4 linked regions of the Saccharomyces cerevisiae S288C genome follow. Changing the gene in region 1 together with any one later gene gives a genetic interaction. Each region holds a gene or a part of one and is shown in the gene's direction. Other genes may lie near its edges.

Evidence for each region.
Region 2: mutations in SEC14 (region 1) and GAS1 together harm fitness more than expected from each alone (negative genetic interaction), as found in Saccharomyces cerevisiae (5 studies listed by BioGRID, with this or other methods).
Region 3: mutations in SEC14 (region 1) and SWI5 together harm fitness more than expected from each alone (negative genetic interaction), as found in Saccharomyces cerevisiae (one large-scale study listed by BioGRID).
Region 4: mutations in SEC14 (region 1) and BUD7 are lethal when combined (synthetic lethality), as found in Saccharomyces cerevisiae (2 studies listed by BioGRID, with this or other methods).

What each region holds. Positions count from the first base shown.
Region 1 is NC_001145.3:423,095-426,559, forward strand, and holds SEC14 (phosphatidylinositol/phosphatidylcholine transfer protein SEC14), read left to right. Parts: upstream 1-1,894; coding exon 1,895-1,903; intron 1,904-2,059; coding exon 2,060-2,965; downstream 2,966-3,465. Other genes in the region: CTF18 (Ctf18p), read right to left, coding at 1-1,634. UniProt on the Saccharomyces cerevisiae protein: Required for transport of secretory proteins from the Golgi complex. Catalyzes the transfer of phosphatidylinositol (PI) and phosphatidylcholine (PC) between membranes in vitro. Essential for viability and secretion.
Region 2 is NC_001145.3:885,171-889,220, forward strand, and holds GAS1 (1,3-beta-glucanosyltransferase GAS1), read left to right. Parts: upstream 1-1,832; coding exon 1,833-3,512; downstream 3,513-4,050. Other genes in the region: FKS3 (putative 1,3-beta-D-glucan synthase), read left to right, coding at 1-1,346; importin PSE1, read right to left, coding at 3,782-4,050.
Region 3 is NC_001136.10:748,027-752,728, reverse strand, and holds SWI5 (DNA-binding transcription factor SWI5), read left to right. Parts: upstream 1-1,986; coding exon 1,987-4,116; downstream 4,117-4,702. Other genes in the region: bifunctional choline kinase/ethanolamine kinase EKI1, read right to left, coding at 1-1,098; TAF12 (Taf12p), read right to left, coding at 4,372-4,702. UniProt on the Saccharomyces cerevisiae protein: Determines the mother-cell-specific transcription of the HO endonuclease gene that is responsible for the initiation of mating-type switching in yeast. Recognizes a specific sequence in the promoter of the HO gene.
Region 4 is NC_001147.6:876,522-881,191, forward strand, and holds BUD7 (exomer complex subunit), read left to right. Parts: upstream 1-1,913; coding exon 1,914-4,154; downstream 4,155-4,670. Other genes in the region: MUM3 (Mum3p), read left to right, coding at 1-517; MBF1 (multiprotein-bridging factor 1), read right to left, coding at 709-1,164; RAX1 (Rax1p), read left to right, coding at 4,444-4,670. UniProt on the Saccharomyces cerevisiae protein: Member of the CHS5-ARF1P-binding proteins (CHAPS) which mediates export of specific cargo proteins, including chitin synthase CHS3. May be involved in positioning the proximal bud pole signal.

The sequences.
Region 1 (3,465 bases):
TTTCTATCCGTAAAACTTGCCATTAGTGGGGACTGAACCGAGATATGTCTCATAATCAGACTAACTATATCTGAATTGGCTCGTTTTAATTCACGTTGTTCGTATTCACTATTCTTCATTCTAATATCATCTTTGTTTGCGATATCGCCAAACGTTTGGAAGAAGACTAGGGGCACAAGGGCGGAGTAACGTAACAATTCGCCATTATGCGCATACATTGATTGGTACATTAAATCATGGAAAAATAGCCAATCTGAAATGTTTGCTGGCTTTCTTATACCATTGTCGGAATATTTTACGTAGGGAAATATATTAAAACAGCCTTGCAATATCCTGTCAGAGTTACCATTAAGCTCTACTTGGTTTAGCAATTCATAAAACTGCTCCTTTATATCACGATGTGGATCCTTTCTAAACAATTGGTTCACGATTTTAAACCATGATATGGGGGAGTCCTTGTTGGATGACGCCCACGTATTTTTTGCACAAGCAGGTTTATCTGATGCAGAGGAATCTCTTGAATCAACATTCGAGGCCAAGAATTGTAAATTGTTTATACAATTCCTTACGTCACCTTGAGCCAAATCAATTAAGTCATTGATTGCTTTTATAGGAATATTCATGTTTTCTTTATGGCAGATAAGGTTCAATCGCTCTAGTAGGGTAGTATCGGAAGGTCTTTTCACAGCAATAATTTCACAGAATGGTTTCAGCTTTTCCAAAGAAGGAGCATATAGATTATTGCAAATACAAATAATAGGTCGCGTAAGCAATTTAGACCTTTTCTTTTTGCGCTTTTTGTCCTTTTTATCTGGTTGACCGTATAATAGTTTATTAGTGGCTTTAATATCGCTTTGCATAATGTCAACTAAAATTCTAATAAATCCACTCTCAATACTTCCATCAATCTCATCCGCCACTAAGCACACAGGATTTGTATCGAAAGTATGATTGAATAAAAGATTATATATTTTCTCTTTTACCATAGGTCCAGCCCTTTCATCACTTGCATTGATTTCTGAGACAGAAAACCCTGATTGTTTGGCAATAACGTGAGCTACTGAGGTTTTGCCTATTCCTGGTGGCCCGTGCAGTAGTAAAATTTTCTTTGGTGGCCTTTTCAATGGATCGAGTTCCATATCACTGACCTCTTTTTCGGTTGGCAATTTGGGTAATTGCTCTTTAAACACAGCCGGCGTCCATTGTCTCAACCAACCTAACATTCTCCTGTTTGTCTTTTCATTACCAACCAAATCTAGAAATTTTTTAGGACGCCATTTCTCTACCCAGAGTGTGTCGCTACCTATCTTGCCAGTTATAGGTGAAGTCTTTTGTGCGTTAGTGCGGTCATCGCCAGATGCCTCAATTTTGTCTAACAAATAGTTTATATTGATGCCGTACGTGTCGTCTGATCTCCAAACAGTATCTGGGTTAGTGTATAGACTAATATTCCCGGTTGCTAACTTCGCAGGCTTCTTCTTTAATTGAACCGTTTCGCCAGTACTTGATACAAACGCGTGAATATCTTCCTCATTAATACCAATTGCATTATTACCAGGGGCTTGTTCTATATCACCAGTATCAAAAAGGGAACTTCTCCCTAGTGAACCAATGTATGGTGCGGTATCAACCATGATCCCTGACCTTACATCCACCTTTTGGGTCAAATAGTGTACACATTAGGAATAAAATATATGAAATCATGTTTATTTACGTGTTAGATGTTCCGTACAACGCGACTGGCTAGTTCGTTTTTTCCACATTTTTTTTTTCAACGTTGATCAACAATAAAATGGTACATCTTCCTTTGTTTGTGTCTTAAGTGTCCTTTCCTGGTATATCGCTTGACCAGCGCCTGTAGCATCAAACCAAACCTTCATCGCCCTAAAACACAATGGTTACAGTATGTTGTTGCTTTTATTTACTTTTTCTTTTTTTGACATTCATTGTGACAATATTCACATTCTTCAGATAGTTCTGTCTATATGAAGCAAAAATGATATATCAATAAGTTTACTAACAAACACAAGTGGTATTACTATGACTTCACTTTAAATAGCAACAAGAAAAGGAATTTTTAGAATCCTACCCTCAAAACTGTCCTCCAGATGCCTTGCCTGGTACTCCAGGAAATTTAGACAGCGCTCAAGAGAAGGCATTGGCAGAACTAAGAAAACTTTTGGAAGACGCTGGTTTCATTGAACGTTTAGACGATTCAACTTTACTACGTTTTTTGAGAGCCAGAAAATTTGATGTTCAATTGGCTAAAGAAATGTTTGAAAACTGCGAAAAATGGAGGAAGGATTATGGTACCGACACTATCTTGCAAGATTTTCATTATGATGAAAAACCATTGATTGCCAAATTCTACCCACAATATTATCATAAAACCGATAAAGATGGCCGCCCAGTATATTTTGAAGAATTAGGTGCTGTTAACTTACATGAAATGAACAAGGTTACCTCTGAAGAGAGGATGTTGAAAAACTTGGTTTGGGAATACGAATCTGTCGTTCAATACAGATTACCTGCCTGTTCAAGAGCTGCTGGTCACCTAGTGGAAACTTCATGTACAATTATGGATTTGAAAGGTATCTCCATATCTAGTGCATACAGTGTTATGTCATATGTTAGGGAAGCCTCCTACATAAGTCAAAACTATTACCCCGAACGTATGGGTAAATTTTACATCATCAACGCGCCATTCGGTTTCTCTACCGCATTTAGGCTATTTAAACCTTTCTTGGATCCAGTCACTGTTTCAAAGATTTTTATCTTGGGTTCTTCTTACCAGAAGGAATTATTAAAGCAAATTCCAGCTGAAAACTTACCAGTCAAATTTGGCGGTAAGTCTGAAGTTGATGAATCCAAGGGTGGGTTATACCTATCCGATATCGGTCCATGGAGGGATCCAAAGTATATTGGACCGGAAGGTGAAGCTCCGGAAGCCTTTTCGATGAAATGATATTATTTTTAAAGACATTTTTTTTTCGAGAGAGAAAAGAGGAGTTCTAAGTAACGATATTTTACAACTGAGATAAGTACAAGTATGCTTATTTACTCTATTCTACTTTTTTGAATAGGCATAGTTCACACTTTTATCTCCTTAGTTTGTACTACTCTTTTTTTATTTTTTTTTTTTCTTCCACTCAGCTATTAGATTATTTATTATTTTATTATCTGTGGTATCATTTTCTACAGCCATACCTTGATTTTAGTTTATTTTGTTGGCAGTTATATACATTTATCTTATAGAATACATATGCACGTATTAAACAATAAAAAGAACATAAGCAAAAATGAAACCTCGCTACAATAAAACTTTATTACGCATTGCAGTGCGCCGTAAAGAGTATTCATTAGAAGTACAATGGTAGCCCTATTTGGTTGCAACATGTTTTAGCAAAGAGATTAGTAGGCTAGGATATCAAGTCCATGCCCCTTTATCACATACTGTAATGATAG
Region 2 (4,050 bases), 460 kb from region 1:
TATCTACAGGTCGTGGGTTTGCAATAACACGCCTCGATTTTTTTACGCTCTATTCCAGATTTGTTAATATATCGATATATTCTGGTTTCCAAGTGTTCTTCATGTTATTATTCGCGATTATTTCCATGTGGCAACCCGCCTTATTATGGTTTTGGATTACAGTCATTTCGATGTGCTTCGCACCTTTTATTTTCAATCCACATCAGTTCGCATTCATGGATTTCTTCATTGATTATAAAACCTTTATCCACTGGTTATTCTCAGGTAACACGAAATATCAAAAAGAATCGTGGGCAAACTTTGTCAAGAGTTCTCGATCAAGATTTACGGGCTATAAAAGTAAAACTGTAGATGATATTTCCGAAGATTCAGGCCATGATTCAAAGAAAGCGAGGTTTTGGAACGTCTTCTTTGCAGAACTATTTCTACCTTTCTGTGTGTTCCTCTTCAACTTCACCGCTTTTTCTTTCATTAATGCACAAACAGGGGTCTCTGACTCAACACCAACTAGCGCTGTTTTCCGTTTGTTGCTCGTAACTTTTTTGCCAATCTTTCTTAACTCAATAGTGCTTTTTCTATTATTTTGGGTTTCACTTTTTGTGGTTCCTGGATTGTCATATTGTTGTAAAGACGCAGGTGCCGTGATTGCGTTTATTGCACACACTTTCTCGGTTTTGGTCTATCTTTTAGATTTCGAACTGATGTGGTTCTTACAAGGTTGGAACTTTACCCGTACATTGATACTGCTTATTACGTGCATCAATATGCATCTGATTCTTTTCAAGGTCTTTACGACGATATTCTTGACAAGGGAGTATAAAAACAATAAGGCACATTTGGCATGGTGGAATGGTAAATGGTACAATACGGGCATGGGCTGGTCTATCATTTTACAGCCCATACGAGAATACTTCGTGAAGATTATGGAATCTAGTTATTTTGCAGCAGATTTCTTTCTTGGTCACTTCCTCTTATTTATACAAACGCCCATAATATTGTTACCATTTATCGATTACTGGCATACAATGGTGCTATTTTGGATGAATCCAAGAAGTATTATCGCGCATAAAAGAATTTTGACTCGAAAGCAGAGAGCATTAAGAAGTAGGATAGTTTCAAAATATTTCTCTCTATATTTTGTGATGCTAGGTGTGCTCCTTTTTATGCTCATCGCGCCATTCTTTGCTGGTGATTTCGTATCTAGTCCGCAAGAATTGCTGGAAGGCACCCTTTTCGAAGGAATCTTCCAACCTAACAACCAAAACAACAACGATACTGGTCCAAATGCTCCATCGACAATCCTGACTACAACACCAACTTTACCTACCTTTAGGACTGTCGCATAGGGATAAAAAAAAAAAGTTATTTTGAGTAGCTGATAAAGCGAGCTGGTGCCTATCATAGCCGGCTCAGACTTTTTATGAATTCACAGGCCAGCCCTGGCTATTCTTTTGCGTACTTTTAGTTCGATATATTTTCGCGGCTCGCGTTTTGTTTGCTTCTTATTTTACACTGAGTTTTCGTGCCGCAAACGTGGAGATGGGAAAAAGAAAAGTCGGGAAAATAATGAGAAATTTCTACTTTTGGTATTCCTCATACAGCCTGCGCGGTTTATTAGTAAAATACCCGATAATCCTCGAGGTTTGAAAAACTTTTCCCTCTACTACTGTTGACACGGATTTTTTTATTTAAGAGGAAAAGTCGTGGTTGTTTTCCTCGAACAAATTAGATATCCATAAATAGTTGTGTCGTTTTATTAAGCTATTTCAAAATCAGTTTTTATTTTTAAAGTCTGATAAAACAAAAACAACAAACACAGCTAAATCTCAACAATGTTGTTTAAATCCCTTTCAAAGTTAGCAACCGCTGCTGCTTTTTTTGCTGGCGTCGCAACTGCGGACGATGTTCCAGCGATTGAAGTTGTTGGTAATAAGTTTTTCTACTCCAACAACGGTAGTCAGTTCTACATAAGAGGTGTTGCTTATCAGGCTGATACCGCTAATGAAACTAGCGGATCTACTGTCAACGATCCTTTGGCCAATTATGAGAGTTGTTCCAGAGATATTCCATACCTCAAAAAATTGAACACAAATGTTATCCGTGTCTACGCTATCAATACCACTCTAGATCACTCCGAATGTATGAAGGCTTTGAATGATGCTGACATCTATGTCATCGCTGATTTAGCAGCTCCAGCCACCTCTATCAATAGAGACGATCCAACTTGGACTGTTGACTTGTTCAACAGCTACAAAACCGTTGTTGACACTTTTGCTAATTACACCAACGTTTTGGGTTTCTTCGCCGGTAATGAAGTTACTAACAATTACACCAACACAGATGCATCTGCTTTCGTGAAGGCAGCTATTAGAGACGTCAGACAATACATCAGCGACAAGAACTACAGAAAAATTCCAGTTGGCTACTCTTCCAATGATGACGAAGATACCAGAGTTAAGATGACTGATTATTTCGCTTGTGGTGATGATGATGTTAAGGCTGATTTTTACGGTATTAATATGTATGAATGGTGTGGTAAATCTGACTTCAAAACTTCTGGTTATGCTGATAGAACTGCAGAATTCAAAAACTTATCTATTCCTGTTTTCTTCTCTGAATACGGTTGTAACGAAGTAACACCAAGACTATTTACTGAGGTTGAAGCCTTGTACGGTTCTAATATGACAGATGTCTGGTCTGGTGGTATCGTATACATGTACTTCGAAGAGACTAACAAATACGGTTTAGTTAGCATCGATGGTAATGATGTTAAAACTTTGGATGACTTCAACAACTATTCTTCTGAAATCAACAAAATATCACCAACTTCCGCCAACACAAAGTCTTACAGTGCAACAACAAGTGATGTTGCTTGTCCAGCTACTGGTAAGTACTGGTCCGCTGCAACAGAATTACCACCAACTCCAAACGGAGGCTTGTGTTCATGTATGAATGCAGCCAATAGTTGTGTTGTTTCCGATGACGTTGATTCTGATGATTACGAAACCTTATTTAACTGGATCTGTAATGAAGTCGACTGTAGCGGTATTTCAGCAAACGGTACCGCCGGTAAGTATGGTGCTTACTCTTTCTGTACACCAAAGGAACAGCTATCTTTCGTTATGAATTTGTACTACGAGAAGAGTGGTGGTAGCAAATCTGACTGTAGCTTCAGCGGTTCTGCCACTCTACAAACTGCCACCACGCAAGCTAGTTGCTCCTCCGCTTTGAAAGAGATTGGTAGTATGGGTACCAACTCTGCATCAGGTAGTGTTGATTTGGGTTCCGGAACTGAATCCAGTACTGCCTCTTCTAACGCTTCGGGGTCTTCTTCCAAGTCTAACTCCGGCTCTTCTGGTTCTTCCAGTTCTTCTTCTTCTTCTTCAGCTTCATCTTCATCTTCTAGCAAGAAGAATGCTGCCACCAACGTTAAAGCTAACTTAGCACAAGTGGTCTTTACCTCCATCATTTCCTTATCCATTGCCGCTGGTGTCGGTTTTGCTTTGGTTTAAAAAGCTTCGACACATACATAATAACTCGATAAGGTATGGTATCTTATTTCATTGTGGGGTAGTTTTTACGAAAAAAATGAAAAGTTGTAAGTATAGTATATATTTTTTTTCTATGTAAGTTTTATAAGATTCTATTCGCTATTACCACCGGTAAATTAAAAAGAACACTATTGTTACATTATATGTTTTTAAATCATCAAAAAAGACAATATTCATTTAATATTCCTTATAGAACTACTTAACATTGTTCTTCTTTCTATTAAACGTCTTTATGCAAACCATTTATGTACTTTCTCCATAATATCAGCTGGATATCTATTGAAAATTGCCATAGCATCACTAGAAGGCAAAAATCCCAACAACTTTTTAACTGAACTTATCACCGTTTGGCCTTCCCTTTCGGTCAAACTTCTCTCATTCAAGGCTTGTATGACTGAATCAACTACAGCGGAGATATTAGATTGAGCACACACAATTGGCGAATTATTTTCAATCAATTGACTCAAAAATTGATAGTTGAATGAGGCAGCTTCTTTGT
Region 3 (4,702 bases), on another chromosome or scaffold:
ATCAAATACAACGGGGTTAGGGCCTGCGTACTCAAAGTCAATAATTGTTAAATCGCCCACTGAGATGTCATCCTTACCCTTACTTTTAAAAAGTAAATTACCATGCTGTAAGTCGTTATGGCAAAATACCATTTTTAGCCCAGAATTTATCATACTATCTTTATCATCCTCTCTTAATAATTTTGAGGTAAAAGCAGAATCATTATACAACCAACGCTTATAATTTTTGAAACTCTTTAAAAAAAAATTCCAACTTGAACAGCGTAAATTTTCACTTATATTTACATTATTGGAAACCCACTCTTTATGCGAGTCTATTAATTTGATCCACTGATCAAAGGTTGTCCAGCATGACGGTTGATCCGTTATTTCTTTATGCGTTAATGGAACAGTACAATGCAACTCTTTCAATTTTTTAGCAATTTTTATTGAAGTATCCCGATCTATAAAGTCGGCTTGAGTAGATGTCCTCGAACCCTCAATGTATTTTTCAAATCTGCCATTTTCAAAAAACCCTTCTAGTTTGGGTCCTAAATCATAAAATGATAATCTCGCAATAACCTTTAATTCATACTCTCTATCAATTACAGAATCTATGCTATCACCAAAAATTCTCATCAGTAAAGGGGGTAAGTTTGGATAGTGAATCTTATAAATAACATTTGTAAGGGCCCCCTTGATTTGTGTCAAAGTTAATAAATTCTTATTCAACGAGGATTCTTTAGAGCCGGGCACAGACCATCCAGGAATCTCCAAGCTTTGTAAAACATTTATGATATCTTGTTTGAAATATTGAGATGGCAAAGACGGGTCTAATTTCGCGTTTACGTATGCCAGTTTGAGAAAATCATTAGCGGTTTGTGAAGTCCATGAGCTTGATGTCATCTCACCGTCTTCATTCGTGCATGTTATTGGCAGTTCATTTTTCAAGTCGACTTCTGAGTGCTCATTAGTATCGATGATGTGGATCACCCTCCTCGTTGGCTTGTCACAATTTGCAGACTGGCGCTTTTTCTTAGACATTTCTGGTGAGGCTGTGCCGACCAAGTAAGTTCGGGGCATTGCGTCACTGCTTGTAAGTGAATAATTGGTGTACATTATGCCAAATTGCAGATCTGTATCTGTTAATTTCTGCTACTACTTTCGTACAAACTATAGCTGCGTACCACAACAATTTAGTAATTTTGTGCCAATCTGTTATCTCAACAACGACATCTATTGTTTTGTAGATTTGCATACACTTTCTTTTGCAAACGACCTCCGGGTAGCCAAAACCCAAACGATATTTTTTTACTATCATCACCGTTTTCACATGCTGTCTAGTGGCCTAACTTATGAAACATAGTCAAACTACTTATAAAACTTCGGCAGTCAGACAGTTCTTTCATTAAATGGTGTCAAGTAGATATTTACGGCATTGGATTCTAGGGCCAATGTTATTTCTGTCTTAAAGGAGAGCGAATCAAATATCGGAGTGTTATTGTTAGATATTCTGAAAGGTAGTATGATTATCTGAAAGCCGATAGGAGTGGTACACTCCGCTCACACCTTGTTAAATATTCATTAGAACATCTCTGTTCCAATTCATAGCAGCATTGTTGGAAATATCTTGGTCTGAATCCCAATCCGGGCAAGTAGAGAGGATGAAATTTTCACTTTCGTACTTTAACCTGTTTAGGAAAAAGGTAAACAATAACAATACCTACCATTAGCGACTAATTATCTTTCTTTCTCCCTATAGATCTGCTCTATAAACAATGATTGAGTACTATAGAGGATCGTCTGCAATTTTATTCACTATTTATGTATTGGCACGGAAGACAAAAAGGCATCGTTGGAAGAAAGATTTGAGAACGACAATATAGATACCACCATATAACTCGTTCTTGGAGCTAGGTAAATAGATCCTGAGAACGTGTTTAACATCTGCGATATAATTAAAGCGCAATCAAATAAAATATTAACGTCATTGTTTTTTCGAAAAAGATGGATACATCAAACTCTTGGTTTGATGCCTCAAAAGTACAAAGCCTAAATTTTGACCTACAAACCAACTCTTATTACTCAAATGCTAGAGGCAGTGACCCTTCGAGTTATGCAATAGAAGGCGAATATAAAACACTAGCAACAGATGATTTAGGCAATATATTGAACCTAAACTATGGTGAAACCAACGAAGTTATAATGAATGAAATAAATGACTTAAACCTTCCGCTGGGACCACTTTCTGATGAAAAATCTGTCAAGGTTTCTACTTTCTCCGAGTTAATAGGAAATGATTGGCAAAGTATGAACTTTGACTTAGAAAATAATTCAAGAGAAGTGACTCTAAATGCAACTAGCTTGTTGAATGAAAATAGATTAAATCAAGACAGTGGTATGACTGTTTATCAAAAAACAATGAGTGATAAGCCCCACGATGAAAAGAAGATTTCCATGGCGGATAATTTATTGTCGACTATAAACAAAAGTGAAATTAATAAAGGCTTCGATAGAAACCTCGGGGAATTACTGTTACAGCAACAACAAGAGTTGCGCGAGCAATTGAGAGCACAACAAGAGGCTAATAAGAAGTTAGAGTTAGAACTCAAACAAACACAATACAAGCAACAACAACTACAGGCTACCTTAGAGAACTCTGATGGTCCACAGTTTTTATCTCCCAAAAGGAAGATCTCTCCTGCTTCAGAAAATGTGGAGGATGTATACGCAAATAGCCTTTCACCAATGATTTCCCCACCAATGTCTAATACTTCGTTCACTGGGTCACCTTCTAGGAGAAACAATAGACAAAAGTACTGCCTGCAGAGAAAAAACTCTAGTGGTACTGTAGGACCACTATGTTTCCAGGAATTGAACGAAGGTTTCAATGACTCCCTCATTTCACCAAAGAAAATTCGCTCGAATCCAAATGAAAACCTCAGTTCAAAAACCAAATTTATTACGCCCTTCACTCCAAAGAGTAGAGTTAGTTCAGCTACGTCCAACTCTGCTAACATTACCCCTAATAACTTAAGGTTAGATTTCAAGATTAATGTTGAAGATCAGGAAAGCGAATATTCAGAGAAACCTTTGGGCCTGGGTATTGAACTTCTTGGAAAACCAGGTCCTTCTCCTACAAAATCAGTGTCTTTAAAGAGTGCTTCTGTGGATATTATGCCTACAATTCCTGGGTCTGTAAATAATACTCCATCAGTCAATAAAGTATCCCTTTCCTCCAGTTATATAGACCAATATACACCAAGAGGTAAGCAGTTACACTTTAGCTCTATCAGTGAGAATGCATTGGGTATCAATGCTGCGACACCACATCTAAAGCCGCCGAGCCAGCAAGCACGACATCGGGAAGGCGTTTTCAATGATTTAGACCCTAATGTACTTACGAAAAATACAGACAATGAAGGAGATGATAATGAGGAAAATGAGCCTGAAAGTAGATTTGTTATTTCCGAAACGCCTTCTCCCGTTCTTAAGTCACAAAGTAAGTACGAAGGAAGATCTCCTCAATTCGGCACACACATTAAGGAAATCAACACATATACCACAAATAGTCCCTCAAAAATCACAAGAAAACTCACAACACTGCCCAGAGGTTCAATCGATAAATATGTGAAGGAAATGCCTGATAAAACATTTGAATGTTTATTTCCTGGATGTACAAAAACATTCAAGAGAAGGTATAACATCAGATCTCATATTCAAACACATTTGGAAGATCGGCCATATTCCTGTGATCACCCTGGATGTGATAAGGCATTTGTACGAAATCATGACTTGATAAGACACAAAAAATCGCACCAAGAAAAGGCGTATGCATGTCCCTGTGGTAAGAAATTCAATAGAGAAGACGCTTTGGTTGTGCACAGAAGTAGAATGATTTGCAGCGGTGGTAAAAAGTATGAAAACGTGGTAATTAAAAGGTCTCCAAGAAAAAGAGGAAGACCAAGAAAAGATGGAACTTCAAGTGTTTCTAGTAGTCCAATCAAAGAAAATATTAACAAGGATCATAATGGACAGTTGATGTTCAAGCTTGAAGATCAACTCAGAAGAGAGCGTAGTTATGATGGGAATGGAACGGGGATTATGGTTTCGCCAATGAAAACTAATCAAAGGTAAAAAAAAACATTGATGTTATGGACACTTTTTTTAATATTTAATAATAAAAACAAAATGAAAACAAGGAAAAAAAGTTTTTTTTTTTTTTAATTATGTATAATCTAAGTAAATAATATAGTATGAACACTTTAGATACAAAATATTAATTAATCAATTAATTTTAAAAAATTTCGCTTTATAGATACATATATAACAATGTGAACTATAACTTTAGGAATTTTTTCTGTGGAAGAGTGGAGAATGTGGGTAACATAATTATTTTTTTGTATTCAAGCTTGCAACATTGTTTCCATTGTTTTTTGCAGCTGCTACCTTATCTGATGTGATACTCTGCAATTTCTGGTTATAATTTTGAGAGGGATTCCATTTTCTTGTACTTCTTATTTCGTCTGCGGAATAACCAGGAATCCTAATATTCCAATTTCTCTCCAAATGTAACTGAATGTCTCTTGCCTCCAAATTGTCCGATTTTCTGTGTTTTGCCAATCTACAAGAAAAAGCTGTAACATTAGTAACAAAATCGTCGGCAAGATCCAATAGTAATTCCTCAACATCACCGTCAATGACAGTTTCACCGTCACCCTCA
Region 4 (4,670 bases), on another chromosome or scaffold:
AATCAAAGAGGCCCGATACCTGTTTCACAGAGAACTTGACAAATTAGTTCACAAGAGCATGAAAATGGAGTCTTCCAAGGTATCCGATAAGACGACGCCGCCCATGATCGTAGATAATTCATACTTACTTACAAAAAAGGAAGAAATCAGCAGCGGCAAGCCCAAGGTGGTACGAATCAATCCATACATATATGATGTCACCATAATTTATTACCGAGTCAAATATACTGATAGTGGGCATGATCATACCAACGGAGATTTGAGACTTCATAAAGGTTATCAATTAGAGCAAATATCTCCGACAATCTTTGAGATGATTCAACCAGAAATGGAGTCTGAAAACAACATAAAGGATAAGGACCCCATTGTTGTGATGGTAAATGTAAAAAAGCATCAAATTCAACCATTACTCGCATACAATGATGAGAGTTTAGAAAAGTGGCTTGAAAATAGGTGGATAGAAAAAGATAGATTAATCGAGTCCTTGCAAAAAAATATTAAAATTGAGACCAAATAAAGATCCTGAATCATAATATATACGTGTGTACTTCACTTTCTATAGAGGAAAAAAAGCTAAAAAAAAAAAAAAATGATAAAATAAACGAAAAAAACCATAAAACGATCATGATAGAATAATGTACATTATTAAGAATGCTTCATTGATGACATGCAGTGCGAAAAGAAAGGAACAAATGAAAGAAGACCTCTTCATTTCTTCTTTGGAGCTCCCAAAGGCGAACCGATGTTGTTACCTCTCAATTTAACGCCTAAGGCTCTTTCCAACTTAGACAAAACTTGTTGGTTTGGAATAGCTCTAGCGGCTTCATAATCGTTTACCACGGTTGGCTTTTCGTTAATTTTGGTTGCCAAATCCTTCTGCGACATTTTCTTGTCTGTTCTGGCACGCGAGATGGCCCTACCGACATTTGGATCCAATTTCTTGGGTTTGACAATATCTGTCTCACGGTCGACCTTGGTCAACCTCTGACCCTCGTTGTCACCCCTCGTATTGGTTGATCCGTACTTCTTGTCAACGGAAACAACCAACCCCTGTCTTCTTGCAGCATTAATTTGGCCTTGAGATCTGGCAACGTTGGCCCTTGGGCCAGAACCACCAGCTCTTGCTCTGCTACCAATAATAGTATTTGTATCCCAGTCAGACATTTTTCTTTACGATTTTGCTCGTTAACTTTTTTGTTTTCTAGCTTATTAGCTTTTACAGTTATGGAAGCGTAGATTCAACCTTCCCTAACACATGAAACTATTATTGGTTAAGCGACAGGCGCCTTTCCAGCTACCTAATATATACCACCACCGTCAAGGGGCGCCCGTTCATGAAAGAGGCAACGATGGTGATCGATTATTTCCAGGAATTGTTCCATGACGTTCTACGTGGTTCTCTTGGTCGGGTAATACAATCAGGGTAACATAGTCAGGGTAACAGAATCCTTGCTTCTATTACCCTCCAATGCAAAGTTGACTGGCGTACATTTGGGCCAAGTATCAGGCCTACCATCTTTTCATCAGTGTTCGATAAATGAGACGTAGTGACCCAAATTCAGTATGTCTTGATAGCTTAGTAAGACTTATAAGCATTTTCACGCATCTTGGAAGAAAGTTGCGAGCATTGCCTTAAGATTCTGTCATGCGGGTGTCGATAGCGTCACGTGAACACATTCCAAGTCCTTTTTTCTTCACCTTTTTCGGTACCTGGTACCTGAGCCAGGAATAGAAGAAGGATCTGAAAAACGTATGCAAATATAGCAAGAGGGCGTAAGCTTAGCCTCGAGGCAATGGCGTTTTAATTATTTTAAGATTTTTTTTCCATAAATAGTGCTGTTATTAAGTTGAAGTGTTTGAGAAGGGAGTGAGCGCAAAAAAATAAAGAACTAAGGAAGAAGAGCTTCCCTCAGATGATTACGCAGAATTCTATACCAGAGGTAAAAGAAGATTTTATTGGTTATGCTTTACATGAGAGAAGAATTCGGTTACCGCAGTTTCAAGACTTAGGGCCGGCAGACTTGGTCACACTAACAAAGTATTTGCCCACTTCAAGTAACACAAATGCCATAAACAGTACGAGTAGAAATGGTGCGGCCATTATTCAGTCCCCTGCAGCCGTTGTAGCCGATGACTCTGCCGCTTCCATGGCAACCAATGGCGATGCTAGTGACACCGCCGTTACCACAAATTATACAAATGCATCTATATACAGTAGCAGCAGAAATGCCAATGATGGAGCCCCGATGGTCGCTGAGCTCCATCCACTTGATAAACTGAAGGACGAAGTAGGGACATTTTTTTACTCAATGGGTGTCGATACATCCGGTCCAACTTCAATCGCAATTTTTTTGAAGGAGATTTCAGAGGTCATCAGCGAGAAACCCCAAGTTTGGTTTGGCAGGAAGAAAACCTTCAATGTTGCTCGAATTTCATTTTCCACTTGGAATGCGTTCAGGAGATGCGACATAAATGTCGTCGTTCATATTCCAGGATCGATTCAGAACTTTATAGTGGATTGCAACGGTGAAAGTCAAAATATAGAGATGTGTGCGGATTATGACTTAATTTGGGCTGAAACGTTCGTAAGTGGCGTAGTACGGTCAATCATGTTAATGAAGGAAAACGCTGAAGAGGGAGAATTACAAAATTTAGTGGAAACCTTGATTTTGAACCCGTTTACTGCAGGACAAATCGACGATGTACCAGAAATGTTCATTGATCTGTTCCCTATAGTTTACCATAAGGGCCCATTATTGGGAGCTCCGTATTATATTACCAATGTGACGAACACTAATAACTATTTGGTAGAAACACTCGTTGAGATAGTTAAGCTGACTCGTAATGTTAGCAGGGCGGAAATAATGTTGAAGAATCTGGCTACCGACAACCCTGAGGCGATCATAATACTAATCAAGATCTTTTTGGTGTGTGATCAAGAATTAGACGCAATAAAGCTCACATACGATATGCTTTCGCAGGATAAAATAATAAACAACACTAATAACCGCATGGATTATAAATCTGAATTACTGTGCTTACAAGCGCAATTTTTGATAGACAAAAGGCAGGATTACAGCTTGGCGCAAAACATAGCGCAAGAGGCAGTCAATTGTTCTCCCAGTGAATTTAGACCTTGGTATCTTTTATCCAAGGTGTATGTAAAGCTAAATGATATTGAAAATGCCTTACTGATACTGAATTCATGCCCTATGTCTCCATTAAAGGAAAAATACGTACTGAAAAGAGTAGCTCCGTTGCCTTCGAATAATAGTCTTCATTTGCCATTGCCAATTGACGTTGTACTGGATGAAGTGACGTCGTTGAATCCACAAGACGTTCAGAATGAACACCGCTCTGCGGATCCAATGCTGGTCAATTTAGCTGCGTCGAACTTGAAATCTACTTTCCAATTGGCATACCGATTATTGACAGAAATTGTGCAGATCACCGGCTGGGAAAATCTGTTAAAGTACAGATCAAACATTTTCGTTATGGAAGAAGAGTACCAAAAATCATCATCTTCGTTACCAAAGGACGTTAACAAACAAGAAGAACAGCCTCTGAGGGCTAAACGGCTGTGTGAACGATGGTTAGACAACCTCTTCATGCTTTTATATGAAGACCTGAAGATGTATACATTATGGCAAACCGAACAACTGTACATGGATGCACAGAATAACAACCACAATAAGTTGACTTTCGAATGGGAGTTATTTGGCCTTTGTGCACGTCGACTGGGCCATTTCCCTGAGGCCGCCAAGGCCTTCCAGAACGGTTTATCGCAGAGATTTTCATCAAGGTGCGCGAGGAAACTGCTGGAATATTGTATAAACGAACGCCAACGGGTCAAAAATTTTATAAACTCACCTAATTCGCATGACATGGTCCCTGAAATAGTAAGCTCACGCATAAGAGAGCTAGACAATAGCATTATCGACCTTTGCGTGAAGATATGCTGCTGGAACCACCGTTGGTATACGGAATTTTCCATAAGTTTACTTGATTGTTTAAGTGTGGTTATTCAAGATATGAGTCTGACCAAAGTTTCGAATGAAATCTCGTCAAGATATCCAGAAACTGTTCTCAACTTGGTGCAGGAGAATTTGCTCAATTTCTTCACTACTTGCACCATTGGATGCTACGATGCATAAATACGATAAAAAGACATTAATACGTATATATAATCCAAAAAAAATTGGCGATACGCTTCAACGTTGTGTCAAACTCTTGGGTCACTTTAAAGAAAACCCAGCATACATTAATACAGAGCAATGCTGGTTATGTAACTTCGCCGCCCGCCGCCATTCGAGGAAAAATATTCGTGTTTCGAGAATGCGGGCAAAACGAAAATATCAATAAAACACATACGGGAAATTCATTGTGCACAACGACCTCTAACAATTTCTGCCAAAAAGAAAGTTCAAGAGCGTCCCATTCATCATGAAGGAAGAGCTCAGCAAAGTGAGCAGTATGCAAAATTTCGAGATGATCCAGCGTGAACGATTGCCAACATTGTATGAAGTGTTAATACAGAGGACATCGCAGCCAGTTGATCTCTGGACTTTTTATACATTTCTTTCACAATTCCCATATGCCATCAACTATCTGGACTTTTGGGTTGACCTTATGACACATACACGACTTTGCAAAAACTACATAGAGTTGGT